Linked DNA regions of Tamandua tetradactyla. The protein of the gene in region 2 purifies or fractionates together with the protein of the main gene of each other region. This does not show direct contact. Links are inferred from orthologs where the notes say so. Each region holds a gene or a part of one and is shown on either strand. Other genes may lie near its edges.

Evidence for each region.
Region 1: the proteins of STX12 (region 2) and STX10 purify together in Homo sapiens (affinity purification with mass spectrometry; 3 studies listed by BioGRID and IntAct, counting the BioPlex papers as one, with this or other methods). This does not show direct contact. The link is inferred for Tamandua tetradactyla from reciprocal best matches to the Homo sapiens genes STX12 and STX10.
Region 3: the proteins of STX12 (region 2) and SNAP23 purify together in Homo sapiens (affinity purification with mass spectrometry; 3 studies listed by BioGRID and IntAct, counting the BioPlex papers as one, with this or other methods). This does not show direct contact. The link is inferred for Tamandua tetradactyla from reciprocal best matches to the Homo sapiens genes STX12 and SNAP23.
Region 4: the proteins of STX12 (region 2) and VTI1B purify together in Homo sapiens (affinity purification with mass spectrometry; 3 studies listed by BioGRID and IntAct, counting the BioPlex papers as one, with this or other methods). This does not show direct contact. The link is inferred for Tamandua tetradactyla from reciprocal best matches to the Homo sapiens genes STX12 and VTI1B.

The regions. Positions count from the first base shown.
Region 1 is NC_135337.1:89,556,888-89,564,336, reverse strand, and holds the start of STX10 (syntaxin-10), read right to left. Parts: upstream 3,014-7,449; 5' UTR 2,927-3,013; coding exon 2,892-2,926; intron 2,683-2,891; coding exon 2,513-2,682; intron 2,381-2,512; coding exon of another isoform or gene 2,370-2,380; coding exon 2,275-2,369; intron 2,051-2,274; coding exon 1,988-2,050; intron 954-1,987; coding exon 846-953; intron 734-845; coding exon 627-733; intron 531-626; coding exon 436-530; intron 348-435; coding exon 271-347; 3' UTR 1-270. Other genes in the region: IER2 (immediate early response gene 2 protein), read left to right, coding at 5,969-6,649. UniProt on the Homo sapiens protein: SNARE involved in vesicular transport from the late endosomes to the trans-Golgi network.
Region 2 is NC_135328.1:198,555,093-198,562,722, reverse strand, and holds the start of STX12 (syntaxin-12), read left to right. Parts: upstream 1-4,623; 5' UTR 4,624-4,776; coding exon 4,777-4,894; intron 4,895-7,630. UniProt on the Homo sapiens protein: SNARE promoting fusion of transport vesicles with target membranes. Together with SNARE STX6, promotes movement of vesicles from endosomes to the cell membrane, and may therefore function in the endocytic recycling pathway.
Region 3 is NC_135340.1:56,366,144-56,373,570, forward strand, and holds the start of SNAP23 (synaptosomal-associated protein 23), read left to right. Parts: upstream 1-4,425; 5' UTR 4,426-4,524; intron 4,525-7,427. UniProt on the Homo sapiens protein: Essential component of the high affinity receptor for the general membrane fusion machinery and an important regulator of transport vesicle docking and fusion.
Region 4 is NC_135338.1:25,310,008-25,317,238, reverse strand, and holds the start of VTI1B (vesicle transport through interaction with t-SNAREs homolog 1B), read left to right. Parts: upstream 1-4,212; 5' UTR 4,213-4,637; coding exon 4,638-4,752; intron 4,753-7,231. Other genes in the region: RDH11 (retinol dehydrogenase 11), read left to right, coding at 1,084-1,186. UniProt on the Homo sapiens protein: V-SNARE that mediates vesicle transport pathways through interactions with t-SNAREs on the target membrane. These interactions are proposed to mediate aspects of the specificity of vesicle trafficking and to promote fusion of the lipid bilayers.

The DNA.
Region 1 (7,449 bases), on a different chromosome or scaffold from region 2:
GCACATGTAGAAGGCACGCGGGCAAATAGCTGGGGGACACAGGAAGTAGAGCTGGAGAGGGGCATGGCGGGGGTCTCCCCCTGCGGATGAGCGAGTAAATCTGTCATTCAAGCGCCCCTAAGTGCACTTGGGATGGATGGCCAGGGGGGAGTCCCCACTCTGGCCCTGAGAGCTCTGGAGCTGCTCCCCAGGGGTGCCCCTCCCCAAGGGGGCAGACCCTACCCAGCTCTTAAAGTGCTCGGCGCTCCCCCAGGGTGTGAAGAGCTGGGGTCAGAGGGCGAAGAGCAGGACGAGAACCAGCAGAAGCACGCCCAGCAGGACCGCGATGGCACACCACTGTCGGCGATCTGGCAAGGGGGCGGGTTGAGGGGGGCAGTCCAGAGGGCCGGAGGTCATGGGGAAAAGGGGGCCTCCATGACTACCCAGGGCACTTACCACTAGTCATGTGGGAGGCTTTGGCCATTCTCCTGAGGACCCCGTCCATCCGGGAGTGGGTGTGATCCATCTCCTGAGCAAACGCGTCCAGCATGCTGCCAAGAGCACAGGGTCAGTGGCCCAGGGAGGGACCGAGGCTCCAGGGCAGCTGCGGGCTCCTGGCCCTCCCCCAGGGGGTCCTGGCCTCTCACATGCCCTGTTCGTCCAGCTCCTCTCCGACGCACCCAGACATGTGCTTCAGGACCCGAATGCTGCCAGACACCATTTCTAGCTGTTGGTCCTGCTGGTCCAGGATCAGCTGGGCAGGGGAGGGGTGGGAGGGGCTGAGCTGTCTGCAGCCCCCACCCCCCCACGCTCAGCCACAGCTCCTGCCCAGCGCCCGCACCCCCCCCACCCGCCCTCCCACACACCTGCTGTGTGACCTGCTGCTCCTCAATGTAGCGCGAGGTGGCCGAGACCGCGCTGGCATCCAGCAGGTCGCTGGATGACTTCTGGGTGGCCGCCTTGCCCGCCAACAGCTGTGGGTTCAGAGACCACCAGCTCAGGGAGGGGATGCCCGTGTTCAGCGGGGCCAGATGCAGATGGTGGCAAATGTACCCATGAATGCGGTCCCTAGGGGTGTGGGCAGGGGGTGGGGGTGGGGTCTGGGGGTCCAATCCCAGCCCCACCACTTACTAGTGAGGTGACCTTAGCCCTGTCACCTGGAGCCCTCTGTGCCTCTGTTTCCCCATCTGTGAAACCGGGACTGCTACAGTTCTCATTGACATCACTCATTACTGTCATTTCGGAATGCTGGAGGCAGACAGAGCCAGAGGAGAGCCCGGGTTTGAATCTGGTTTCCACTGCCTACTCTACTGGGCACAGGCTGGGTCCCCCTGCTTCTTGGGCTCTGCCTCCCAGGACTCACAAAGCTTCTAGCATGGGTCCGCCATGGCCCGAGCACAGCAGAATGCTCTCTGCTACTGCACCAGGCTGTGCCTTTCTGAGTTCGAACTGTAATCCACAAGGTGGCCCGCGTGGAAGGTATGTGGGCACTGCTATAGCACATCAGCCTGGTGCGGGACTCCGTGCCTCCACCCACCCACACCCCACGCCAGCTCACAACAGGACACCTAAAGGCTGGGGTTTTATCACATGCAAAGAAAAGGCACATGACCCAGAGGGAAAAGGCATCCAAACAGAGAAGGCAGGGAGCCTACACACAACAGGGTGCGTAAGCAGAAAGGACAGACATGCACACAAGGTAGGTATGCAGGCTTCCCCATCCCCAGCTCCCTCAATGTAAGGAAACTAGTACCCACCACGCAGAAAGGGAGAAGGCTTGAGGATAGGTGCCTGAAGTACAAATCAACCCACAGGGAGGACTTGGGATGGGGGACACAGGCAGAAAGAGCAGGCTGGCATCTAGGGAGGGGATGCACATTGGCCGGGAGGGACCAGGCGCCCACATACCCAGGAGAGAGGCGTGAACACACACACGGAACAGACTCGAACTCAGAGCGCAGGGGCCCAGAGGGGGCTCAGGCCAGGACGCTGTGCCAGGAGGCCTCACCTCTCTGTTGTTCCTCTCCAGCAAGGCAACGGCTGTGGGCCTGACCATATGGTCCTTCATTTCCTGGGGGAGAAGGAGTCAAGACACCCCAACCTTCCCACACTCACTTCCCCGGGGTCCGACACACACACACACACACACACACACACACACACACACACACACACACACACACACACACACACACACACACACACACACACACACACACACACACACACACACACACACACACACACACACACACACACACCCCGCCTTCTGGAGGGGGCGGGTCCTCTCCTTACCTGGACAGCCTCTCGCATCCGCTCCACAAACGCCCTCCTCTCCTGCAGGTCGCCGGCTGGGAGCTTGAACTTGCCCGGGTTGGCCTCCACGATGCGTGAGCGGGGAGTCAAGGGTCAAGGTCAGGGCCGGACAGGAGTAGAGGCTGCCCCCCTTCCTCAAAATCTTCCGGATGTGGGGGTACAGCGCTCCCCCCCAACGCCCCCCACCGTCCCGTGCCACTGCCGCCCAGCAGGATATCGATGGTCTCTTCCAGGTCCTCCAGGTCCCACTCGATGCTGCGCAGGCCGTTCCGCAACTCATTGGTGGTCCAGTCCAGCTCCTCGCGGCCCGCCGCCGCGCCCTCCAGCAGGAGCTCGCACCAGCGCTGGTACAGCCCGCGGGACGCATTCACCGCCTTCTGCACCTCGCTGTGGGCAGGGCACAGCGGGGGTGGCTGGGGACAGGCGGCATCCCCTGCGGCGCCCCCAAACAGGTGGAGACCCTCGGATCCCCCCGAGACGACCCCGGCCCCGCACCCGACGGCGGCGCGCGGGCAGCCTGGTATCGCCCCGGCCCGCGCTGGGAGCAGGGGAAGGGGACTGAGCACCCGCCGCCCGCCCCGGTCGCCGTCACTCACCCTCGCACGACAAAAAACGGGTCTTCGAGAGACATGTCACTCCCCCCCTCCCCTCGGCCGAGCCACCTCCCCGCTCGGCCCTGCTTGCTTGCTCCCTCGGGGCGGAGGACCACGCGCCGGCTTCCCCGCCCCCCCCGTCACGTGACCCGAACCGCCATAGAGAGTAGGGCCGCCAGCCGAGAAAGAGAGGTCTTACAGGAGGATGGGCGGGGCGCGAAGCGCCAAAACTTCCGCCCTCACCTAGGCCGCGCCGTAGCCATCTTGGCTATGGGCGGAGGCGGCTTCCTGTCCGCGTGCTCCGCCCCCTTCTCCTGCGCCCGCCAGATTTAAGGTCGAAGCGCCGACTGTTGGTTCGAGACCCAACGCCTCTGGTTGTGGCTGTATAACCTCGGCCTCCCTTCTGGGCAGTCTGATTACTAATCACCTCCCTGAACCCAGACAACTGGAGAAGGGGCTCATTCGATTCTTCTTAGCTCCGTTTAGCGAACTCCCGAGGGGCTGCACTCCAGATTCGTCCCGCGAGGCCGTCCCAGCCTAGGGACCCGAATGACAGGGCTGGGAAGGAGTTGGGTAGAGGCGCGTAATCTGCGGGGCGTTTCGCCGCCTCCTTCTGCTGCGGGAGGGAAGGGGGCGCCTCGAGGTCGCTCTAAGGAGAACCGGGAGTGACGGGGCCCCGAAGATGCTCCTGGGCGGGACTCACCTCCGGGAGGATGTGCGGAGGTGGACTTTGTACTGCTTCTCCTCTCTATGAGCGGAAGTTTTGGGGGGGCGAGAGTGGGGGTCGCGGGGCAGTGGGTTCTGAGGCTGGCTTCCAGGGGAGTCCCCTGCCTGGGGCGTCTCTGAATGGGGAGGGCCCGAAATGTCTAGGGAGGATCTCAACGGCCCCACCTGGATGACTGAGGCACTCGGTGTGGGGCCTCCCGGAAAGCGCTTTATCTGGGGGTGGGGGTGGGCGGCGGGTCTGGAGCCTGAGTGGAGCCTGGGGAGTTTGTTCCCATCCATCCCGGTGGGAAGGATGTCTGGGGGAGTCCCGGATGGCCGCCCCCAGGTGGGCCAGAGTCGCTTATGGGGTCGCATATAGCGTCCAGCGAGTAGGCCATCGTGGGGGTGTCCGTGGTGGCGGTGTGTGGCAGAGTTGCTGACTGGATCAGTTTGGGAGGGGAGTAATTGTTGAGTCCCCATGTTGGGGGGAAGGGTGCGGCACCTAAAGGAGCATTGGGAAGATCGCTTTTATTTGTGTGTGTTGGGGGTACAACCTGGAAGGGGTCCTTGTAGGGCATATCGCTGTGGGGGAGCAAGGGATGAAGGGGTCATGGGCGGGTAGCTCTGTGTGTCGCACGGCCTCTGGAAAATGGCGTTAGTGGGAACCCTGAGGTCGTCCGCAGACGGGAGGGGTCCTTCCGGGAGGGGCGCCAAGCATTCCTGGCCCCCGCAGGGAAGGAAGCGAAACCTTCCTCTCCCTCCACGCCCGCAATCCACCGACCCCGTTGGACGTCGGGCCGGAAGCCGCGGGCTCCAGCGGGACCAAGCTGCCCCGGAGGGGGTGTGCCTGGTAGGCCAAGCGCCCGCCCCCGGCCCGCCCGGAAGAAACGCGCTACCACCAGCTAAGGAGATCTCGACCCCTGACCTTATATGGGCAGCCGGAAGCGGCGCGCGCGCGCTGACGTCGCTATTTCCAAATATAGTCGTGGAAGTCCAGTCGCTCTAGTGGCGGGAAGGCTCCCGGGCCAGGACTGGAGTGGGGGCAGGGGCCCTCCCCTTAAAGGGCCCGCACCACGAATGAGTGCAGGCACTCGGACAATTTTTCATCCTTTTTTTGAAGGACCGGAATAAGGTTTTCTTGGAGCGATGGCGCGTGGCGAGGGAGGTGATGTTTTCTTTTTCCTCTGGCTCTGCGGGGCTCACTTCAGCTCGCCGAAACCCGCCTCCCAGGGGGTAGGTTGGAGGCGGGGCCTGGCCGCGACGTCGGGGGGGCGGCAGCCACGTGTTCCCGGGGACTGCCCTGCAGGGGGACTCGCTGCCTTACTAGTGCGAAAACCCACGCGTGGAGCTCGTGTCGCGGAAACCGAAGGGATGTGCCCAGTGAGAAGCGCGGAAGTGGCCGCCTGGGCCGCGCCCGGGAGCCTGCGGCTATCGGTCACTGGCAGGGGATAGGCAAATTCGTACTCCCCACCTCCCCAGCCGAGCCAGCGCGGCCTCTTTTCTTCCCGTAAACAAGGGAGGCGTGAGGACTGGTGGACGCTAGAGGGAAAGACGGGGACCCATGCACAGCGCCCAGAAACTATCCCAGTGCCCCCCTTTTACTGTAGTGGCCCATTCATTCGTTTAGCAAATATTAGGCCAAACAAAAACAAAAAAAGTAAATATTAGGCCAGCCAGTCTGCCTCGGTTTCCCCACTTGAACAAAGCAGGTGTAACAACCCTCCTCTGAATGGAGGAAGAAAGTCAATGAGATAATACTGAAAAGGCTCAACAGCGCCTGGGACATAGTAGGCGTTTAATAAACGTTAGCAGCGTTACTATTAATTCAGCGATAGATGCCAGGAACTGTGCCCGCGGGGGTCGTACGGGCTTGAACCGGATCTTCCCCGGTGCGAAGGGAAAACTGCAACCTGCGCCCCGCTGGGACTTCCAGACGCGAGCACGTGGGTGGTCCCTGGGCCCCAACCGCGGTCACCACCACCCCCCCGCCCCCAGGGGCTGCGCGCGGCTGCGTCGGCGGGGCCCTGAGAAAGGGGGCCGTCCCAGGAGTTTAGCGCGGAGTGGGGGGCGTTCCCCCTTGTTTGGGTCCCCGTCCCTTTTCCCCGCTTGGTAAACCCCATCCTGTAGCTTTAAGGAGTCTCTTTGGCCACCGAGCGGTGGAAAGCCCGGATGCGGCCCTCTGATTGGGCGGGGCGAGGTCGTGACGTCACTGGGCATATAAAACAGTCCGGGTGGCGGGCGCCGGGGCAGAGCGTCCCGGCGGTGTCACGGTGCTGGTAGGCGTGTGGAGGGAGGTGTGAGCTAGCGCGTTGTCCACGGTGCACCTGCTGTGGTTCCTGCCCGAGCCGGGGAGTCCTCGTCGCCGTCGAGCCGCCATGGAAGTGCAGAAGGAGGCGCAACGCATCATGACTCTGTCGGTGTGGAAGATGTACCACTCACGCATGCAGCGCGGCGGCCTGCGGCTGCACCGGAGCCTACAACTGTCGCTGGTCATGCGCAGCGCCCGGGAACTCTACCTCTCGGCCAAGGTGGAGGCCCACGAGCCCGAGGTGCCCTTGCCGCCCGCCCGCTCCCCTGACCCTCGCCTGCACCCGCCGCGGGAAGCGGAAGCCGAGGAAGCCCAGGCAGCGCCCTCCGTCGGTGAGCCACCCTCCCCAGAGCCCATGGACACGCAGGAGGCTCCCGGAGCCGTGGAGCCTCCAGTCCGCGGTGACCCGCGATCCGCCAAAGCCAACCGCAAGCGGCGGAGCAGCAGCCTGAGCGACGGCGGGGACGTGGGGCTGGTCCCGACCAAGAAAGCCCGTCTGGAAGAAGAGGAGGAGGAGGAGGAGAAGGGGGCGCCGTCGGAGGTCCCGGATCGCCTGCAGCCCCCGCCTGCGCAAGCGGAGGGCGCCTTTCCCAACCTGGCGCGCGTCCTGCAGCGGCGCTTCTCGGGCCTCCTGAACTGCGGCCCCGCCGCCCCCCCGACGGCGCCCGCGGCGTGCGACGCGAAGCCGGCCTGTCGCCCGCCGGACAGCATGCTCAACGTGCTCGTGCGGGCCGTGGTGGCCTTCTGAGGGCCCCCGACCCGCGGGGACCTGAGCCCAGAGCGCGGGCCGAGCGGTCGGCCCGAGCGCGCACACGCACCCTTCCCCCTGCCGGGGAGGGTGGACCCGCGGAAGCCGTGGAAAGAAGCCGCCGCCCGGGCTGCTGAGAGGCCCCGAGGACTCGACCCCCGGGGACCCGTCGCCATCTGTGCGCAGCGGCGACGCCGAGGAGCCGGAGCCGGGGACGCGGGCGCCTTCCGCCGAGATCTGGCGCGCCCCCCAGGTGCTGTCTTAACCCACTGGGACTCGGACCTTTTCCCCGGATCTCCTGGGACTGGGAGACCGGGAGGCCAGTTCTTTCATCTCCTCAGGGTCGGACTTTTATTATTATTATTTTTTTATTAGGGGCCTGCGCTGCCCATTCAAGGTTTTCTCACTAGATGGTGTTTGCGTTTCTAACCTCAGCATCCCAGGCGCCCGAGTCCCCTTCCCCCTCTCCAGGAACATACTTGTGCAAGCGGTCACCGTTGCGTCATGGGGCAGACGTGGGGAGTTTCCTGCTCTTGGCGTGGGTGTGGGCCTGGGAGGAGGGTCTGGGGTGCGGGCCCGCCGGGGAGGGGGTGGGGAGCGGGAGGAGGGCGCCTGAGTCACGCGGCCCAGCGCTGCGAGTTAGTGCCCCGGGCCCCTGCGCCCTTCGGTGGGGCGGGGGTCGACCCCGGGGTCGATGGACACATTTCTCTAATGGGGACTTGGAGGTGGGGTTGCTGGCTGGCCCGAGTCTCCAGCGTGATCGTCCTTCAGACACACGGACACCTCAACCCAGACCTTTT
Region 2 (7,630 bases):
ATATTTGAATTATTTGAATTATTAGTCAAAGATTTTCAATCAGCTGTCTTAAATATGTTTAATCAGCTAAAGAATCTATACACAAAGAACTAAAGGAAATTAGGAAAAAGTTGATTGAACAAAATAAACAGATTGAAATTATAAAAAGGAACCAAACAGAAATTTTGAAGCAGCAAAGTGCAGTAATTAGGGATAATAATCCCTATCAAATTTCCAGCAGCCATTCCTGTAGAAATAGAAAAACCAAATTTATATAGATCTGCAAGGGGCCCTATATTGTCAAAGCATTCCCGCAAATGATGCACAGGGTTGGAGGACTCACGCTTCCCAATTTCAAATTGTTCTACAAAGTTTCAGTTACAAAAATAGTGTGAAATTGTAAAAATATTTGAACTAAATGCTCATGCTTATAGAAGAAATAAAATTAAATAAAAATGAAAAAAAATAGTGTGGCATAAATACAGACAAATAGATCAAAGGAACAGAATTGAAATTCCAGAATAAGAGCCACACATCTATGGCCAATTGATTTTTTTTTTTTTTTTTGCATGGGCAGAAACCAGGAATTGAACCCGGGTCTCTGGCATGGCAGGTGAGAACGCTGCCTTCTGAGCCACTGTGGCCCACCCTACGGGCAATTGATTTTGACAAGAGTGCTAATTACATGCAATGGGGAAACATTAGTCTTTAACAAATGATGTTGAGAAAACTAGATATCCACATGCAGAAAATGAAGTTAGACCCCTCTCTCACACCATATAATTAAAAAAATCAACTCAAAATGGATCAGGAACCTAAATATAAAAGCTAAAGCTGTAAAATTCTTAGAAGGTAACATAGCAAATTTTCATGACCTGGGATTCACTGATAGATTTTAGATATGACACCAAAAGCATGAGCAACAAAAGAAATAATAGATAAATTTAATGTTATCAAATTTAAAACTTTTCTGTACACAGGAAGTTATCAAGAAAATAGAAAGACAACTCACAGAATGGGAGCAAATAGTTTCAATCCACATATTGGATAAGGGCTTAATATCCAGAATATATAAAGAACTTTTATAATGCTACAACAAAAAGACAAACAACTCACTTACAAAAATGGGCAAAGGACTTGAATAGACATTTCTCCAAAGATATACAAATGTCCAATAAATACATGAAAGGATGCTTAACATCAACAGACATTAGGGAAATGTAAATCAAAACCATGAGATACCACGTTACACTTATAGGAATGGCTATTATTTAAAGAAATGGAAAATAAGTGTTGGAGAGAATGCAGAGAAATCGAAACTCTAGTGCATTGTTGGTGAGAATGTAAAGTGGTGCACCCACTGTGGAAAGCAGAATAAAGTTTCCTCAAACAGTTAAATATAAAATTATATTTTATTGGCCACTGTAAGTGGCAATTCCACTTCTAGTTATATACTCAAAGAGAGTGAAGGCAGGAGTCTCAAGGAGATACTTGTACATCAGTGTTTATAGCAGCATTATTCACAATAGCCAAAAGTTGGAAAAAACCCCCGAGTCCTTCAACAAATGAAAGGATAAACAAAATGTATTACACATATGCAATGGAATATTATTTGGCCGTAAGAATGAAGTTTTGAGACATGCTGCAACAGAGGATAATCTTAAAAACATTTTGCTCCGTGCCTGCTCATGTAAAAAAAATATATATGTTTTTGCTCCATAAAATAAGCATTGTCCATAAGGACAAAAATTATACGATATTATTTGTGGGCGATGACTAGGTATAGCAAATTTGCAGCCATAGAAATCACATTAGAGGTTAACAGCAGATGAAGGGTGGGAGGAAGACAAAGTGTTTGGTTGTAGAAATAAATAATAAAATTTAAAAATATGCTAGAGTGTTATGCACTTTCTATTGGTAATCTTGATTTTTAAAAAAAATGCTGCCTAATTTTAAAAGAATATTTCTATGAACATTCCTGTACCTGTTTTTTGAGTGCATATGTATACACATCTGTTGGGTATATATAGTTAGGAGTAGAATTATTCAGTTGTAGGATATGTATGAATCCTGGCTTTGCTGTATGACCTTGGGCAAGGACCCACAACCTCTTGAGAACAGTCTCCTTACTGTACCAAGTAGCTAATCTCACCTTGATGGGAAAACTGCTTTTGTTAATGAACAAAGGAGCAAAGTACTGAGAAACTTATCCTTTAAAATAATAGATTTTCAGAAAATATGCTGATTGAAATATATTAGTAGAAGTGGAACATTTCACTCTACTCTGGAGGATCTGAGTTACTTTGACACTGAATAGCAATTTCCATTTTCCAACCCAGGTGCAGAGCTTCAGATAAGGGGTTTCCATATACAACATTCGTCATTTATCGTCACATTGTGGTTTCCAGGGAGACAGGATCCTGAATCTCCTGGTTAGTCGGACCTGATGTTAATCTCTTTGCATATAACCTGGTGTGCTTTGAGGCTGTCAAAACATCACTTCTTTTAAATTTTACCTTCACTCCATCTTTTCCCTAAGACCTAGAATAACTCTATCAAGATGCCTGAAGATTCCTCTTGGGTAAAGTCTTCCTTGTAACAGCAAGTTAGTATGCCTAACTTTGTTAGAGCACAGGTAGTCTTTTTTTAAGGTGGGCTTTATCTTGGGGATTACCAGTAATGTGCGCAGAACGTGTGTACACTGCTTAACACCTGATTAGGCATTTATGAAATGGTAAGGTTAGTTTTTATTATTCATTTATGAGTTCAATAAATGTTTATTTGGCATCTAGTATTTGCAAAGCAAAAGTTCACTGCTATAGAGCTGCACAGATGGAAAACCACTTTTATTTTAGACGGAGGAAGAAAATAACAGCAACAACTATATCTTCAATTCCTAGGAGATAAGTAGCTGTACTGAATTTCACTATAAGTAGTGTCAAAACATCCTCAAGACAGTTTTTTGGGTAAAAAGTACAATATGCATGATTTATTACAAGTTTTGACATAAAACTATGGATTCTAAGAACAGTAGTTTTAAAAACCAGTATGAGAACCCCCAGTATCACTGTCTCCTATACAGAAAGAGATGCTGGAAAAAAAAAAAAAAGGAGATAGACTTGTTTACAAAAGCTCTAAGGCTGAATGCAGGCTTATTCACCCATTTGGGGACCCCTCCCAAGATGTAAACAGGCAAACAGCTTCCTCTCTTTGCCGTTTTCCAGAGACTGTAAGGCATGCTTGGGGGTGGAGGGTGGGGGAGTGAAGAACACAGGAAAAAATGCCTATTTCCCTTCACTTCTCTCTATCTTGATCTCCTCCCAAACCCAAATCCTACTGCTGTCTTTCCCTTCATCGTTTGCTCACACAATGCAGCCTTCTGTAGGAATATTGAGGCTGCATACTCCAAATTACTTAAGGAAATGACTTTAAATTTTGGGAGTCTATTTCCCCAAGAAATCCCGGTTTGGAATACATGAAGAGGCTACTTGGGAGGGATTAGATGGAGAATGAATTTGGGAATACGGGGTTGAATTTTAGGGAAATAGAGAGATGATGACGGAGTCAACATAGTGTATGAGTTTTGTAGTCAAATCTCATTAAAGCGAATTAACCTCTATGGCCTTATTTTTTCCTCGTCTGTAAAACGGAAAAAAATAAAGCTTACTTTGCAGAGTTACTTCAGCTTTAAAAAATTGACCGTCTATTATTTATTCAAAATAATTTTTTTCTTTGAATGAGGATTTACAAATTTATATATTCTTTCCTATGGAAAAAAAACACACAAAAAATGAACAAGTAAGCAGGTAAGGAAGAACTTTTAGATGAAAGCCTGACAAGATCTAGGAAAATGGAGGACAGTACTGTCTGCCTACTTACAAAAAGCAAATGAATGCTCAGTGCTTTTCAGAGATTTCAAGCAGGAGATATTACACTTAACTGATATCCCCTAATCTACAGCACTCAAATGGCAAACCAAATCCTTCAGTAGCCAAGAATACCAAGATGACTGGAATATTCAAATGCAACGTATCCAGTTCTTCAAAATGGTCCATGGTGCAATGCTTATATCAGACCTCCAGAGAAACAGTGTCTTTTGTTGCAAGTTTCCCAGCAAGTTCTATATGGATAGAACATCGATCCTTACTGTGAAAGAGCTTGTAAACAAGTGAATTTAGGATTCACACAACACTAGGTGCTCAAAAATATTAAGACAAAACAAAATAAATAAATAAAATTAAAAAAAATATTTAAAATTAGAAAAGGGGTGGAGGGAGAAATGAAACTGGTTGTAGGCTCCGCAAATACTACTAGAGCCCCTAAAGGATGGAAATAGAGAAAGGAATTTCAGGAGTTTGGTTTAGGATATGAGTTTAAGGTTAAGGATATGAGTTTCGAGGTTGTCAAATTCTCCTAGACTCGGGCCTGACTTCTCAGAATAGATCAGAATGGGAAGTAATGGCTGAGATCATCTGGTATAATTTTATGCAAATAGTAAATTCTTGCCTCCTGTCACTGTGCCCCGCCACTGACGTACCCAATTTGAGTCCCAATTATGTGACATCATCGCCCCGCCCCGCATCCCCAAACCTCTGTGTGTCGGGTCTCTAAGCTACAGCCCCAGGCACTCTTCCAGCGACGCATGCGCACTGCGTGAGGGCGGGGGCTAATGCGCGCGCAGCCTCAGCTCTTTCCCTGCCCTTCTCTTCCCGGTTTCCCGGTCGGCCTGCGGGTCCAGTCTGACGGCTGCTTCCGGTCGGAGCTCAGTGCCCGGCCCGCGGGTGTCAACTCCTCGTCATGTCCTACGGCCCTTTAGACATGTACCGGAACCCGGGGCCCTCGGGGCCCCAGCTCCGGGACTTCAACAGCATCATCCAGACGTGCAGCGGCAACATCCAGCGGATCAGCCAAGCCAGTGAGCCGGAGGGACCGGGCTGGGGGGCGGGCGCCGTCCCGGGGACAGGCCTGGATGAGGCCGCCGGGACGCGGAGCCTGGTTCGGGCTTCAGCGAAGGCCACGCCTGAGGCCGTCAGGCTCTCCACTCTTGGGGCGTTGAGCTGCCATCCCCTAGTATGTCAGGTCCTGGCTCCTGGAGGGTTCCGAACCCCAGCTGAAGCTCGAGGTTCTTTTCAGGAGTTCAGCTATTACGGTTTTGGGGCCGAAACTGCAGACTTGACAGCCGGAGGCTGAGGGGATGCCACCTCGAGAGCAGTGTGGTGTTGGCTTGGCATTAGTAGTCAGCCGAGTTTTTCCTGTCACCCGTCTTCCACCCACCCTCATCCCTTCCCTCTTTGGCCAGTTTGGATAGGGGGTTGTTTACTGATTTAGGCTTTACATTGACATTCTTCTCGGCCTCTGATTCCTCCTAAATTAGCAGTTTTCAGTGAAAGGAAGTACGGAGTGCGTGTATTTGGATGACTTTATAAACAGTTCTTTCTGTAATGAATATGGGAACCAGATACAATGACTGTGTTTTAGGTATGGGATGACTTCTGTTTTAATAAAGAGAATTCATTGAAAACATCTCAGTTTACATTATTTTGTCTTTTGTGTAGCAAAGGATTTATGTATGTTTTTGGATTACAAGTGGGATGAGACTTTAGTTTCCTTCCATATTGAGCTACTCTTTCCAACAATTCTGATGCACGGAGAGGCTCAGGGATCTGACCACAATCACACACTAAGACCTGGTAGAGTTGGTGGCAGAATTCAGAATGTCCCCAAATCCCCTCCCCACCATCAGTGGCTAGTGAGACTAGCATAAGTCTGAATTCAGAGCCTTGTAAACAGGTGGTGAGCAGCAGCAACTTTACTTGGAAAGAATGGTGATTATCATCATTGTTGTTTAGTATTGTGTATTTGTGAGTTTTGCTATGTGCTGTTAATAGAACTACTGGGTCCTGAATTCAATTATGTCCTGTATTTTAAAGGATAAACTGTCACTTTGCTTTTAAATTTAAATGTGTAATGAAAATTTGAGAGGCAGAAAGTTTCTGATGGGAAGGAATTGAGATTGAGTGATGTGGAAGTAGAGAAACGTGTATGGTCCGTTAAATCCAGAAATAAAAATAAATTAACATGACCAGTGGATAGAAAGGATACTACTTTGTGCTTCAGTTTCCTTTTGTGAGGGAGATGAAATACTGGTTAGATCAGAAAATTCTGGTTGAAGGCTGAAAGCTTCTTGTTGAGGTTAAATCTAATTTTTGTGTTTGTTTGTTTGTGAAGTATTCATTCAAGATGTTATTTGTTTACCTGGATATGGAGTAAGTATAGGAACTGGCACAGATTCTTTTGTCAGCAGGCCTTTGAAATACATAAATAACCTGAATATAAATAAAGTCAAAAGGGATCAGTGCTATAGAAGACACACATATGACATTATCTGGGTATTCAGGGAAGAGAGGGGACATTTCCATTTGGGGAGGTATCAGAGAAAGATTATAGTATTCTAGCTAAATCTAGAAAGATGATGATAGAAAGAAATTGGACTTTTGAAGGTAAAGAGGAGAAGAGCATTCCAGGAGGAGAGAATAAAATGAGCAGTCTCGGTAGTAGAAAAGCATGGGGTGTATATGGGAAAGTAGAGTAATTCGGTTTGGCTAGAGTGATGGATTCAGGAAAACAGTAGAAAATAGGGTTGGGAAGGTAAGTTGGCACCACACATGAAGGGCTTTAAGTGTTGGGCCAAGGGGCTTAGAATTAATTATTTAGGAATGTGTAAATTAAATTGGAAGGAAGAGAGACTGGACTCAGCTATCAGGGACTGTGAGAACGAAAAGGAAGGAAAGGATAGGAGAGGTTTGCTTGGAGATAGAACTAATAAGACTTAGCTGTTGATTTGATATTGGGCCCAAGGGGATCATTGAAGTCAACTACTAATAGCATTAATAGCTAACATTTATTGAGTACATACTGTGTGCCAGGCAGTATGAAAAGTGCTTTCCATGCATTGTCTTAATTAAATTTATGACAATCCTGTGCAGTAGGTACCGATATTGTTTTCATTTTATGGAAATGGGCTGAGAGTAGTTAAATACTGCTCAGCTAATATATGGCAAGCCAAATTGGAATAGGTCTGTCTCTTGTGAACATCAGCCTTTTTATAATTTTTAAAATCAATTATTACAGTTCTGTAGTGGTTAACACGTCAACTATACAGGTGACTTGTTTTTTCACCCCATAGAGGAAACTATGGGGAATACCTGAACCTGTGACGCTCTCTTCCTTCTCTTCTTGAGGTGTGGTCTGTCTCCCCTGCTAGATTGTTAGCTCCTTTGAGGTAGGGGACATGACTTCTCATCTTTGTATTTCTAGAATTTATCTTAGTCCCAAGCATATAGTAGATTGGAGCATTCATGTAGCAAGCGTTCTTTGAGCATCTACTATATGCCAAGCATTGTTCTAGGTGCCTGGGCAAGAGGATGAAAAGGACAGTCAAAACCCCTGCTCTGATAGAGTGTGTGTATGGACATACATATATATAGGCAAAATGATATCAATAATAAATTGTATTAGTTAGGGTTCTCTAGAGAAACAGAATCAACAGGGAATGCCTGCAAATAAAAAATTTATAAAAGTGTCTCACTTGACTGCAGGAACGCAGAGTCCGAAATCCGCAGGGCAGGCTGTGAAGCCTAGGACTCCAATG
Region 3 (7,427 bases), on a different chromosome or scaffold from region 2:
TTAATATATCTTGGAGACCAGACCACTTGGTATTTGCATATCTAGAGATGGCTTACTCTTTCTAATATGCATAATTTATTTAATCAGTCCCCTACTAATAAAAACATCTAGGAACTCTTACTTCTTGATACCATTTTTCATTTAAAAGAAAACAAGTGACTGTACGGTTTCAAATCAGAGATTAGCCTACTAGATGTGTAACTGCAGTATTTATATGTAACTTGTCTGCCTAATTACTCTTTTCATTGGATACACATATTAATCCTAAAGGGTCTACTATAATACTCATATGACAAAACACACACTATGCATATTACTCACTAAGCCATTCCAAGCTTGCTAGCATTTACCACTCTCCTCTTCTCATACAGTAACCTTCAGATTACCAGTTCTCTAACATAGATATGCAATTAACAACCATTTCACATTTTTCCTTTTTAAATACCTTCCTTTTAATCAAAGTTAATACTTCTGAACTAGCCTGCTCAGGCAGGCTTCACACCCTCTACCTCTTTCTAGGCCTCTTCAAAAACCATCTAGCCCTACCAAATTCAAATATCAAAACAGTTAGACACATCCTTACTTCATCTAATGTAGAATGTTTGTTTCTACTTTGCTTTAAAAACCCTGAGATGCTTCAAAACGCACACATAATCAATGTGTTAAAAATCTTTGGTTCTTTACACAAGGCCATGTGTTTCCAAAAACATTTTCCAAAATTCATATTTCAGTAAAATGAAACTAGCAAATCTAGGAAAACTCTGACAAAAGGATGCTTACAATTTACTCCTCTTTTAAATTGTTATTTATCTGTCTATTTGGAAGAGAGTCAGAGTATGGGAGAATAAATAAAATTCTGGGAATAATGGTAAAACCTATTGCATATCCTTGAGTTTTCTCCTTATACTTTTGTTCCAAACCCTCCATATTAACTACATTTTACATGTAATTTTCTCTAAAATTAGATTGTAACAATCAATGGGTATTAGTTGGAGGACTATAAAAGAGGACACACACTATTTTAGCAAAATTGCATATTGATTCAAAAGTGTTTTGGAAAAACTTTATGTGAATTATGTCTTAAAATAATCCAAGAATTCATAGCAAGTATAGAATTGAAAGTAAAAGTAATGCCACAAATTTATTTGCATTATTAAAGTAGTTTAGTCAAGGGCACTAATTTAAAAGTCAAATTGTCTTCTGTTCATGATTAAGTTTCTCTAAAATTACTACAACTGAATATTTATTAAATGGTAAATCATGGGGAAAAAAAACATCTAGCAAGTATCTTTAACTGAAGCCTCCTATCATTTTTAAATCCCATTAGCTAACTCTTAACTGTAATGCAGCTTGCTTCTCAGCAGAACCGCTTAGAGTATCTAACTTTGTGTAACAGCAAAATGATAGCTTTGTTATCATACAGCCTGAAAGTTACCACTTAACTCTAGGTAGGTGAGCCTGAGAAACTTATCAGACTCTCAGAGACTTCATCTAAAATGTGCTGCAAAAAGCCACCTTCCATTACAAGATCTCATTAATTTTTTGCGACATACTTGAGTGTATCTGGCACATATGGAGTAGGTGTTAAATAAATCTGAATACTGCCTTCCACTGTTTCATTCACAACCAAAGTGAAAGGTCTAAAACAAATTTTAAGATTTCCCATGGGGCTTAGAACAGTACTAGGCTCTTAGTAAGTGCTCAAAGTTATCTGTGGTTTGAATAATTCATCATTATTATTATCATGGTGAATGATGTAATAAGTTTAAAAAAAAACTTTCCTTAACTGGTAATGCAGTCCCAAATTTATAAGGGCCATGGAAAACTGACTCCACAACAGGATATATTTTTATTCTAAAAATGACTAAAGTGAGTAGAAGGAGGAGGAAGGTAAAAAGCATTTCCTTAACTATAATTATGTTACTGAAATTCATACGAAATATTAAACTGACACATAGTAAGCATCCCTTAATTAGTAACTAATAGTAAGACACATTGGAGAGAAGACGAAAGGAGGAAAAAGGAGGTTGTCAGTCACAAGAGGTCGAAAGATGTCCCTGGCCTGTGACCCACAGGCCTTTAAGCACAAGGGTCTATGAGCTCCCTGCCCCACTGGAAACCGAAGGAGGTCAACGGCCTTCCCCAAAGGTCAAAGCTCTGGAGCCACCTTTCCAGCTAGGGCTGGGAGCAGAACCTAAACGCCCCCACGAGAATCCGTTCCCCTAAACCAGAAGCACCGCCAGCTATAATCCGAGCTGGTGCTGGGAGATGGGACTAGTTATCCCCGCGCCGCAACATGCACCAGCAGAGACATCGCCGCGTCCTGCAACCCCACAGCCCTGCTAAGGGGAACAGTAGGACCCTCGAGCTCTGATTCGCATCAACGCGGTTCGGTACCTTCATACTCACACTCACGGCCGACCTCTCTTACTCCATCGCACCGCCGAGACCCCGGGGAGGGAGCTCCCTCACGCCCCAGACCCCCAGCTTCTGTTTTGGGTCCGGCGGCCCACTCCCGACCGGCTCCCCCCCGGGCACCGCCGCCGCCAGCGCGCAGGCGCACAACACAGCCGTCGCGCTCCTTTTTTTTTTCTCTCTCTCTCTTTGCCGTCCGCCATTCTCAATAATCTAACTTTATTAGAACCCAGAAGTGAACAATGCACACAGGGGTAGAGGGTTTATTCTGAAAGAATGGAAGACCAAAGATGGTTGGGTTTGCAGGAGCTGCACTGGATCCGACTGTGACTAGCCTCCTTGGTCCCTTTTTCACTCTCTGTTGTATTTTCAGGCCTCCTTGCTCCTACTCTCTTCTTAAATACTCCACGGTTCCCTTTTGACAATGACAACTGTTTCAGCTAACTTTCTAATTCCTTGTAATATTTAATAAAGCTTAACGAAAGTGTTACCAAACACAGGCCATGGATCCTTGTGCCCCACACGCTCAAATGACCCATTCCTGAGACACCCGGGTTTCAAAGAGAGAAAAAGTGTATAACTAGACACAGCAGATCAGATGGCCTACGGCTCCAAAAGCTGTCTTCCCAAACTGCAATAATTTTGATAGTTTTATTGTAGCAAAAGATGGGCAGGTTTTAGGATAATGAGCACAGTGGTCCCAGCTGATGTGATTAGAAGTGATCAGATTATTGAGCATGTGCAGGCGGATTACATACTTAGCCACAGAATTTATGTAAGAAAATGGTGGCTTTATTATGATGATGTGCATGATTTTTAGTATAATGAGGTATAGGGGAACTTTATAGCTTAAAATCTAAGCTACTCTGCATGTCAGGTGGGCCCATTTTGGTTAGATCCAGTTTAGGTTATCAAGATAACTGGACTTGGGGCGGGCTAGTTTTGGGCTGACCCAGGACCCTTCATTAATAAATATTAGGGGCTGTCTTTAGTGATCATAAACTTTAAAGTTGAAAAACTGGATAAATGGTACAAGTGAAGTTTAGTCACAAGGTTTCTCTCTCTCTCTCTCTTTTTTTTTTTTTTTTCTTTTTGCATGGGCAGGCACCAGAATCAAACCCCGGTCTCTGGCATGGCAGGCAATAAGTCTGCCTGCTGTGCCACCATGGCCCGCCCTGTTACAAGGTTTTTACAATCACAGGTGCAGAAGAGAAAGGCTATATAATCATTATCAGAGATTCAGGCAGTTGGATTACAATTCAAAGATTTCAGGTATTTCCCTCTGACCATTCTAATACACCAGAAAGCAAAAGGGAACATCTATACAGCTATAATTCAGTAATTAAAATCATCTCTTAAATCTCAATTTCTCAGTTACAGAAGTTGCCTCAGAACTTTAGACAGACCTCAGCTCAAATCTTAACCTAGCTATAGTAATTTGCAACTTTGGACAAATTCCAAGTTTCTTTGGACCCTCCATTCCCTCAGAGTTAAAATTAGGTTGATGGTGTTGCTAGGATTAAAAGAGGTAACAGGGAGGACCAGGTGGCTCAGCAGGCAGAGTTCTTGCCTGCCATGCCCGAGACCTGGGTTCAATTCCTGGTGCTTGCCTGCGCAAAAAAAAAAAAAAGAGGTAACATAGGTCAAGTATCTATTCATGCATCAAGCAAACCAACAACTATATTATTATTCATAACAAGTAATTTTATTTATTAAAAATCTTAGCCCCTACCCATTCCCTCAGGACTCTATTTTAGTGATAAATATTAGTCAAATAAACCAAGTTACGTTAAGGCTGGTGATGGCGTAATGTGTCCCTCCTCTTACATTATTGAAATAACATCTCTTTTTAACAAGACCTTTAGTGCCTCAAATCAAAATAAGCAGCTACCTCCTTCATCTATATGTGAAGGCAAAGTTGCTTCTAGAAGTTTAGAAAACTTCCAATTCTGTATTTGTGACATCACAAGTCCTTAAAACACTTGAAAGTTGGGGTGTGCTGCTCATTCTACTCTCCTTTAAAGACAAGCAATGAAAAAACAGCTTAACCCAATAATCTCAGGGCTATAGTCCAAGGATAAACCTATAGAAGATTAAGGTCAGATATTGGTAAGCACCAAGGTAACCCTACATCAGGGTTTCTCAACCTTGGCACTATTGACATTTTTTTGACCAGATAAGTGTTTGTCATGAGGGAGTGTATGGTGTATTAGGATGTTTAGCAGCATCCCTGGCTACTCGATGCTAGTAGCAGCTCCCCACTTCTCCAAGTTATGACAATCAGATAGGTCTCTAGAAGTTGCCACATGTTTCCTGGGGGCAAATCACCTCCAGATGAGAACCATTTCCCTAGACAAAAGTAAAAATGTTCCTTACAGAAAGGGAAGCTAGTGTTCCGTCCCTACCTCAAGGTGATTAGGTTTTTGCTGCTTGGGTTACCATAATGTATAGATTATGACTGAAATGGAAATCAAATTCACTAAAATCTTAAGAGTTTTAAGATCTGGCATAACATTAAATTGTAGACCAGTCAAGTCTCCAGAGTTTCCTAATTTTAAAATTCAACATTTTTTGCCTGAAAATCTTTTTCATGCCCCACCCACCCCGGGGAAGTGGGTGGGGGTGAGGGTGGGTGGCAGATTTGAAGGAGAGAAGAAATCTATGTAAGGATGATTCTCAGGCTGTTTTTTTTTTCTGCCACTAATTCATTTCAGTGAAAGAATACACATTTATCTCTACCTTGCCATCATTCTGGATAACTTCCACCTCCGTGTGGACATGTAATCCAACAATAAAATCTCTTAACTCCTTAAACTCAACCTAATCTACTACTCTATGCTATTTCAGCTACCCACATCCATAGCAATACCCTGGACCTTCTTATCACCTGCAATTTCTTTACCTCTAAATTCCCTAATGTAACTATCACTTTCTTTGTCCAAACACCTTCTGTCTTGCAGTTTCTTTGGCCAACCACACTCTGTGACTTTCTTTGACCTCATCAAAAACTCCTATTCATTGATTCCACACTTTTATTTCCCAATCCATCAGCCTTTTCCTGACTTCTGACTTGAATCCCATGATCTGTCATCTTTTGGCAATAACTTGAGCTCCCTTGCATGTCTGTGTTTATTCTACCACGGTTTCTCAACTTTAGCACTATTGTTATTTTGGACAGATAAATCATTGTGGGGCCTATCCTGTTTATTATGGGTGGTTCAGCAGCATTCCTGATCACTAGATGCCACCCCCCCACCCCCCACCCCCATGAGAACAACCAAAAATGTCACCAGGCATTGCCAAATATCTCCTGCTGGCAAAATTGTCCCCTGTTGAGAACCATCACATTATACAAATGCCCATCACAACCTGAAATGAACTTGACCACACAATTTTCTTCACCTCTGCCCTTAAGAAGTAGTGACTGCTTGAGAAAGCCACACCCCAGTACAGACTGGTGAGTTCATTTTAAGTTGCTTTAACTAGGCCTTCACTGCTTACCAGGCCTACTACTTTTCTCTGATCAACTTTCTCAATTTCTGCAACAAATACTTCAAATCTCTTCAATTTCCTTAATACTGCCAGCACCATCTCCTTTACTTTCAGCAGATGACCTCATCTCCTACTTCACAGAGGAAATAGAGGTCATCAGATGAAAACTTCAACTTTCTGTTTATTAAATGTACAAATTTACAAACTGCCACACAGTTCCTCTTGTTATAATTGAGGGGGTATTATCTGTCTTCCAAGTCTATTCCTCCTGCCACTGCTTTAGATTGTCTCTCTTATCTGCTCAAGTTTTTTACCATTATTGACTATCTCTTCTCTTTCTTGTTTAAGCAATCTTTTTTTCTCAGTTGGATCTTCCCCATTACGCTCAAGTTTCTTCTGTCTTAATTCTAACAAAAATGCAAAATAGAAACAAAAACACTTTGATCCTCATCTTTTAACTATCATCCCTTCTCTCTCCTCCCCATCAAGGCCAAACCTTCCAAAAGCATTCTACAACCTGCCCTCATTTCAGCATCCCCCTCTCCAACCTACTGCTATTTTAACTAAATTCAAAAGATATTTCTCAGGCTTCATCTTTCTTGATTGCTTAAGGATAGACTTGTCTCTCTTCTTTAAACACTCTTTGCTTGATTTCAATGATTGTTCCTTATTCTTAAAGGTGTTTGAAAGGATTCCTGGAGGAAGTGGCTTAAAATAATCATCTACCCAGCTTAAAATCCACCTTTCAGTAGCTCTCCATGGACATAGTATAAAGCGCAGACTTCCTAGTCAAAAAATGCAAGTCACTCCAAGATCTGGCCATTGCCTATTTTTTTTCAATGCAATTTTATTGCTATATTCACATACCATATAATCATCCAAAGTATACAATCAATGGCATACAGTACCATCATATAGTTGTGCGTTCATCACCACAATCAATTTTAGAACATTTTCATTACTCCAAAAAAAATAAAAATAAAAATAAAGAAGAAAACACAGCGGCCCATACCTTTCACCCCCCCCATTATTTATTTTTTGTCTTTATTTTCTGCCTATATACTGAATAAAGGGGAGTGTCAGTCACAAATTTCACAATCACACGGTCACACCATTAAAGCAATACAGTTAAACAATTATCAAGAATCAATTTGCCTTTTTTTTTTCAAATTAAGACCCATTTATTTGAACAGCTAACATGAAAATAGTGACAGTATCAAGTGCTGATGAGTATGTGGAAAAACTAGATTTCGAATGTTTTTGTGATGGGAATATAGAATGGTGCAGTCATTCTGGAAAATATTCCTTTTTAAAAAAATTTTTCGTAACTGTGTAAGTTTATAGTTCAACAAAATATTGTTTAGTTTTGTGGGTTTTTCAAACTTTATGCAAGGTACCATAGTTTAAGTAGCCTTCTGGGACTTGATTTTTTATTTAGTATTATGTTGCTAAGATTCTTGATGCATGTAGCCGTAGCTCATTTTTTTCTGTCCTAAAATATTTCATTGCAACATTATACA
Region 4 (7,231 bases), on a different chromosome or scaffold from region 2:
CCTTGTAGTTGTCAGGGTTTGTGTCCTCCTTGGTGATATCTTGTAAGTCCTTGTGAGTGATAAAGGCATGCATGGTGCATGTGGCACATTGCGCTTGGCATCATTTTGATCAACACATCTTCTCTCACCTCCTGTTGTCACATAGAGCCATCACATGAGCCAGATACTGTCTGAAGTTCGCTGATCCACACAATGCAAAAGATTCAGGCCTTGTGTCTGTCACTTCCCACACACACGGGATCTAGTATAGGCAGACGATATAGATGGCAACACTGCTGGTGTTGTCTGCTCCAGTGGCTAACAGTATTCCAGAGGGATCCAGTTCACTGGCCTGGATACCTCTGCCCTGTTGGCTCATCACCACTCTAGGCTCTGGGTCTTTCAGACTGGAGATTGTGGTGATGTGGCTTGTCTGGACATGCATTACAATGCGCATTTTGCATTTTATGCCACACATGACTGAATGCATGTTTTTTTTTTTAACTTTTCCTTTCTTTAGTTGTTTTTGAAGCTGGTTTTACTTACACTAGCCACAAAATAGTTTTAAATGCAGATAGACCAGAAAAGAAATGCTTTTTCCTACTCTAAGCACCCATGACCAATGCAAACAGCAGGATTTCAGCTGTGTGACACTGTATACGGCCAAGGTCCTGTAATACGCACCTTATAGACTTATTTGAACAAGCTGACACAGGTGTCAGACAGGCACTGATATTACACTTACATCCATCCATACAAAGAGGATTATAAAGACTAAACGATGGCGGCCACGGTGGCTCAGCAAGCAGAGTTCTTGCCTGCCATGCCAGAGACCCGGATTCATTTCCCGGTGCCTGCCCATGCAAAAAAAAAAGAAAAAGACTAAATGGTACACACTGTATATCAGACAAAGTGGTATGATCAGAGGAGGTCTAGGAAGAGGTCTAAAAACACTATACTTTCTGTGGGATACAGATTGGATCCTGTGAAGCAACTAGAAGATATGTTATCTCTGGGTTGTTTTTCTGTCATATCCCCTATCCCAGACAGAGAACAGATTTAATCCTGAGCCCTGTGCATTAAGCCCCCCTCTTTCCCTTCTAGTGACTGTCATGTGGCCTGGGTCTCTGCTCAGGCTCGTAATGAGACGATAGCAAGACGGCTGTGGGATGTCAGCTGTGACCTGCTCAGCATTCCAGTGGATTGACAGGTGGTGGCCGCCAGACCCAAAAGAAGACTGCAGGAGTCTGCTTACCACTCCCTACCAAACTGACTCTCCTTCAGGGCAGCCAGAAAGGAGCAAAATCTTCCAGCCTTGCCTGCTTGGTATTCAGTAAAAGGCCAGTACACTGCCAGATTCATCTAAATGCCTTTCATTTGTCCAGATCTATTTTATTCCTGTTACTGCCAGAATTACTAGAATATAGAATATGAAAACCCTCATATGACTTGCACAGATCATATTTTCTCCCCAAAACCTAATGCATAGGAGGAGCCAAGCTATGGTAGGGTTGATTTATGGGAATTTGGACTAGTTACTTTCCTCTTTATTCACCATGTATTTCCTGCCACCCAACCTTCTTGACTTTAAGAGGACCACACTTGCAGCCTCATCTAAACTCCAGGAATCACAGTGACTTGGCTCAAGAGCAGAGTTCCTCTTTCACTTCTTTAAGAAAACCCTCACAGCACCAATATCTGGATTCTTTCAGAAAACTCTTAACTGACTCTGGACTATGGCTCTGCCTTATCTTTGACAAGCCAGAGTCACTTTGTTAAGACACTTTCAGGTCTAGACTATAGAAGAGCTTCCTTTTGTAAGTAGTCTGTGGGGTTTGGTTTTAACTGTGGGAGGGAGGCAGAAATAAACATCAAGTTCAGAGTGTCATTTTCCTGCTGTTTCTCAGATCAGCAAGCAGGGGGCATGAAGAGAGCAGTATGATGGCCACCTGACTTCAGTTACTGACCCAGTACTCAGCAAGGCTTCCTTTTTTTGTGCCCTTAGCTTCTCAGAAAACCAGAAGAAGGGAAAGGCTGTTTGTCATTGGGCTTATCTTTGTGTGTTTTCTTGTGTATCTCTTCAGTTGGGAATATTTTCAGAAAATTCAAAACAGCCACAAAGGAGGAGTATTAAACTGGACCTCCATGCAGGGTCCACATCAGAGATGGAGCAGACCAGTGTCAGTGTCATTCCGTCTTTGATGCACATGGGTAGAGCTGCTAACGGATGCAGACTCTGCATTTGTTGATAACTTCCCACCAAGAAGCTATCCATATGGATAGCAGAGAAGTCCAAAAAAGGGAAGAATCCTGGGAGATATAAAGCATGCAATGAAGGAACTAGTTGAGGATTTATAAAAAAGACACAAAACGTCTAAAGACAGGAAAAGCTATAGCAGAATTGAGGGTAAGCACTGAATCACCTAGACTGATGAGACCCTTATTGGTTAACAAGAACCAATCGACCAAGGTGGCGGGCAAAAAAAAAAAAAAAAAATCCCAATTCTTTACTCAGAATAATTATCCTAAGGACTGACTTTCAGTAATTACATTCAATTTAATAACCTTTCAAGGCATTTCTTTATATTATCTTGACAATGCTAAAATGTCTATTTGGTAAAAATCTGTATTTTATTTGGAGGACTTTTAATAAAAGTAATGCAAAAAAATAAAAATAAATAAAGGGCAGTGCAATGGTGGCTCTAATGCTGCCAGAGGAAATCAGAGAAATTGGTAATGTTTCATCACTTGTTTACAGTACATTATTCTATCAGAGTCTGAGATTTTCTTGAACTGGCAATTTATATGTTTAACTTTGGTAGGGAAAACAGTAATAGGACCACAGTCTCCACTTCTCATAATTGTAAATTAATAATCTTTTGTTGAGATTGTTTTGACCATTGAAGTGTATATTTAGAAATGGTCATATTATGGAAAATAGGAAATCTTTTGTTTTGATGATAATGCAGTAGAATAGCTGAATTAATACTTTATTACTTGATTTAAATTGAATGTCAGTGACAAATAAAAGTCTTTTTGATTATGTTTTTACTTACCAATTTAAAAAGTATAAGAATTCAACAAAGGTTTAATTATATGGTCAAAAGAAGAAAATACTTTTCATTATTACAGTTATTCATTAATTCCTCATTCTAAAGAATGATTTTCCCTGTCTAGCTGCAGTCCAGTTTCAGTTCAAATGACATTAATTTGGGTTTTGTGATAATTTGATTATTCATTCACCTAATTCCTACTTATCTTCTATGACACTGTTCAGATACCACCTTTTCCCATGTTTCTTGTTTATTCCAGGCTATCTCTCCTTTTTATATCTGCTCCTTTACTTCCATAACACAGTCCTATGGGACTTATATCAGTTCACTGCCACTAACCCCAGACTTTGTTATTTCTGTATTCTCAGTGTCTGTTAGTAACTCAACAAGGGCTTGTTGACTCAACTGTCAGCGAACTCAATCTGACAAAAATAAAGGTCTAAGAGATAGAAAGCACTAAAAAGAATATTCATATACTTTTTCATATGTGTAGGCAGTTTAAATATTGGGCTTCCAAGCAAACATTTCAGTTTAGACAAATGGTGAGGTCAGTGAAAATAGGAATTTTCTTCCATTAACCATTACACTAAGTATTTACACCCATGGCGTGCAGGAAATGACTAAATTGTTAACACATTGCATCCAGTGGTAGGTAGCCAGGTCTGCCTTCTCTACCTGATTATAAATTACCCCGGGACAGAGAGTAAAATTGTTTTATTCACCATCATATCCACATCCCGGCACAATGCCTATAACAAGCCCCTGTAGAGTGAATGAATGCAATGCACGAGGCAACCTCATGCATTACGCGAGCCGGACTGCTAGAGGCTAAGAGTGTGAACTTTGGGGTCACACTGCCTGGCTTCCACTTCTGAAAGCGTGTGACCCGTGGCCACCTGACCTACCCAGTATAAGCGCTTTACCCGCCCATGGGCAAGTAGGAACCCGGCCCGACTACCTTTCGAAAACGGAAAGTTAAGGTATGAGTCAAGACATGCACTGAGGGGGTCAAGGCATATCTTGATACCAAACCACTGCACGTCAGCGGCGACCCCGAGCAGCCGCGGTGCTGACGGAACCACCCACTCCGCGGAACGCGTGACTCCCGTCATCCGCGCCGAACTACAACTCCCGGCCTGCACTGCAGCGCGCGCCCTTCGCCAAGCCCGCGGGGCCTCGGAGGGAGGCGGCCGTGCTGCCGGGTCTGCGGCTTCCTTCCCATCTTTCCGCTTTGGCGCCCCAGCCAATCCCAGGCCGGGTATTTCCGGGCCCGGAGGACCGCAGCTCACCCCAGCGCGGCGCCGCTCCTCCATCAACCCTTCGGCTGCGCATCTGGCCTGATTTTCTGTCAGGCGTTCGCACTCGACGCTTCCGGGGCGACGCGAGAGAAAGAGAGAGAGAGAGAGAAAGGGAGAGAGAGAAAAGGGGCGGGAGAAATGGGCGTTCCAGCCTGAAAGGACCCCGCTGCCGGCCCCGGAAGCGCCTCGCCTAGGCGGTGGCGGGGGTCGTCGTGATGCTGGCCGGCCAAGGCGGCTGACTGCCGGGCTAGGAGCAGATTCCCGAGGCCAGAATCTCGGCGGCCACAGCCGAAGTGCGGCCTGCGCCATGGCCACCTCCGCGGTCTCCTCGGAGCATTTCGAGAAGTTGCATGAAATCTTCCGCGGCCTACTTGAAGATTTACGAGGAGTGCCGGAGCGGCTGCTGGGGACAGCGGGGACCGGTGAGGCGAGGGCTGGCCGGGATGTGGGAAACTGGGCTCCTCGCGCTCTGGGAAGAAGAGCCCCGACCCTCCTCCCAGACCCAGGCTTTTCTCTCCCTGTTCCTCATCTTCAGACGCGCCACAGGGCTGGCTAGGTTCCGTAGCCAGGATCTCCCCGCCGCCACTTCGACTGGGCTGAAGACTCAGGGAGGGACCTCGGGGTGTCGTCTCCCAGGGATCTTCCCTTTTGATCTTCTCGTGGCCCTCTCAAAATTTTCTTGTCTCATTTTTTCGTCATGGCAGAAAGAGCACAAGGGTTCTTAAATCTTTTGTAGACTTATGTAATTTATTTTGTGCATTTAAAAGCATCGCAAACTGGTGTTTAAATGTCAAGAGACATTGGGTTGAAAACTCAAAAAGGAATCATTACTTTGAGATTCAAAAATTTGTTAAGAGTTGGTAAACACTAGCGTGGTAGGGGAGATTTTAAAATCAGGATTGTGGTCTTGAGGTGAGGTCCTGTTGTGAAGTTTCTTGCTGCTTCCTGCCTCTTGAGTTCAAGCTTCAGGTTGTTGCAAGCTCTGCCTAGAGCTACGTTTTTTCATTTAAATCTGTAGGAAATCCTGTCATAGCTTCTTGGCTCTTGCTGAATAGATCTGTATGGCAACGAGAACAAGACTTTGAGTTTGCTCTCTGAATTACCAAGGACATGTGAATTGAGTGACTAGTGAGAATGAAATTCATATATATTTTTTTAAACAAATATTAGAAGACTGCTATGTGCCAGGCACTGTCCTAGATACAGTATCACAGTGAAAAAGACATGCAAATCTCCATTCCAGAGGGCGGATGACAAACAATATTTAAGTATTAAGAGGAGTTGTTAAGGGCTATACAGAAAAATAAAGCCCTGTAAAGAAGTAGAGTGAGGGAGGCACCAGTTTTAAATAGGGTGGCTGGAAAAGGTCTTTCTGAGGAGGGGGGTATTTGAACAGAGACTTGAATGAAGTGAGGGAGTAAATCATGCATGAATCTGGTAGTAGGGTTAGGAGGAGGGACTAGCACTGCAAAGGCCCGTAAGTAGAAATGGGTTTGGTATGTTCAAGGAAGAGCAGTAGGGCCAGTGCATTCCATGTGGAGTTGGCAGAAGGAAGAGTGGTGGTAGATGAAACTGGAGAGAGATGGCCCAGACCATATGGGGTCTTGTAGACCATGATAAAAGATTTGCATCGTCTTCTAAATGGGATTCATTTAAAGGATATTCAGCAGTAGAGACCAGGATCTGATTTATATGGTTGAAAAAAAGACTGCGGTTTCAGCCTGGCACTGAATTAAGTTCTGCGACATCCATTTCTTTAATGCTAAATAATACAAAAGGGTATTCCATTTTGAAAAATAGAAACCTGAGTTATATTCATCTTTGTCATCTACTTAACATTCTTCCCATTCTTGCAAAGAATCTAGTGAAAAGATGTGCAGTGGTGCTCAAGCCCAAAGTACGCTGACATAAATTGCATGTAATGGGCTTAATTAATTAATGGCTAATGTATACTATATATACATTCTCAGGGCTATAATAAAACTTAATCTCATTTTTCACTGTCTTGTCTGTACTTGTCTTTCAATAAATGCTGAATAAATCGAATTTAATTAAGCAAACACTCTGGGCCTCTTTTCCAAATCCTTCTTTCCTGATTCTGAGACCACTTCATAAACTTTTCAGAGATTTAATTCTCACTGTGAGTTGGTAGATACTGTGTAATGTCTATAACTCAGCCCTTGCATTTAGCTTATGATCTGTAGCTGAATTCAGTTATTTTTCAGTTAACATTTATTGAGAATTACATGCGGCAGTCACTTTCCTGGGCCCTGAGAACTCCTAAGAGTTCTTGCCTTAAAGGGAAGCAAATTTACAACAACGTGTATGATGCATCCTAAAATAAAGTTCTCTAAGACCATTAAAAACAACTACCTTAAGCATGGGAGAGGGAGGGCAAAGTTTTACACTTGGAGTTGAGTCTAAGGGAAGGAGTAGGTGTTTGCTAGACAGAGGGGAAATGGGAAAAGGCAACAAAAGAATTAAAAATTGGATACTTCCAACTATAAGTGGCTTCAGGTGTGTGGGGGAGAGTAGTAGGAGATGGGGAAAGTGAGGTAAAGCCACATTGTCAGGAGTCCTAAGTGTCACATTAAGATCCTGGGACATGATATGGAGAATCAGTAAAGGATTTTAAGCAGGTGATACGGAGTGAGGGAGAAAAATTCAAGGGTGTCTGTGTTATCTCACTTGGCCAATAGAATGAATGATGAACTTAAAAAAGAAATAGGAGAAACAGACTTGTTGGGGCTGTGGTAACTCAAGGCTGGGTGTAGAATAGAGATCATAATGTATCCCTTTCAACCTGACAAGATATTTCTTCTCCTGCCATTTAAAATAATACTTATGAAAAACATATTATATCCCCCTATTCTATATTATTGACAGCACTTTCCAACATGA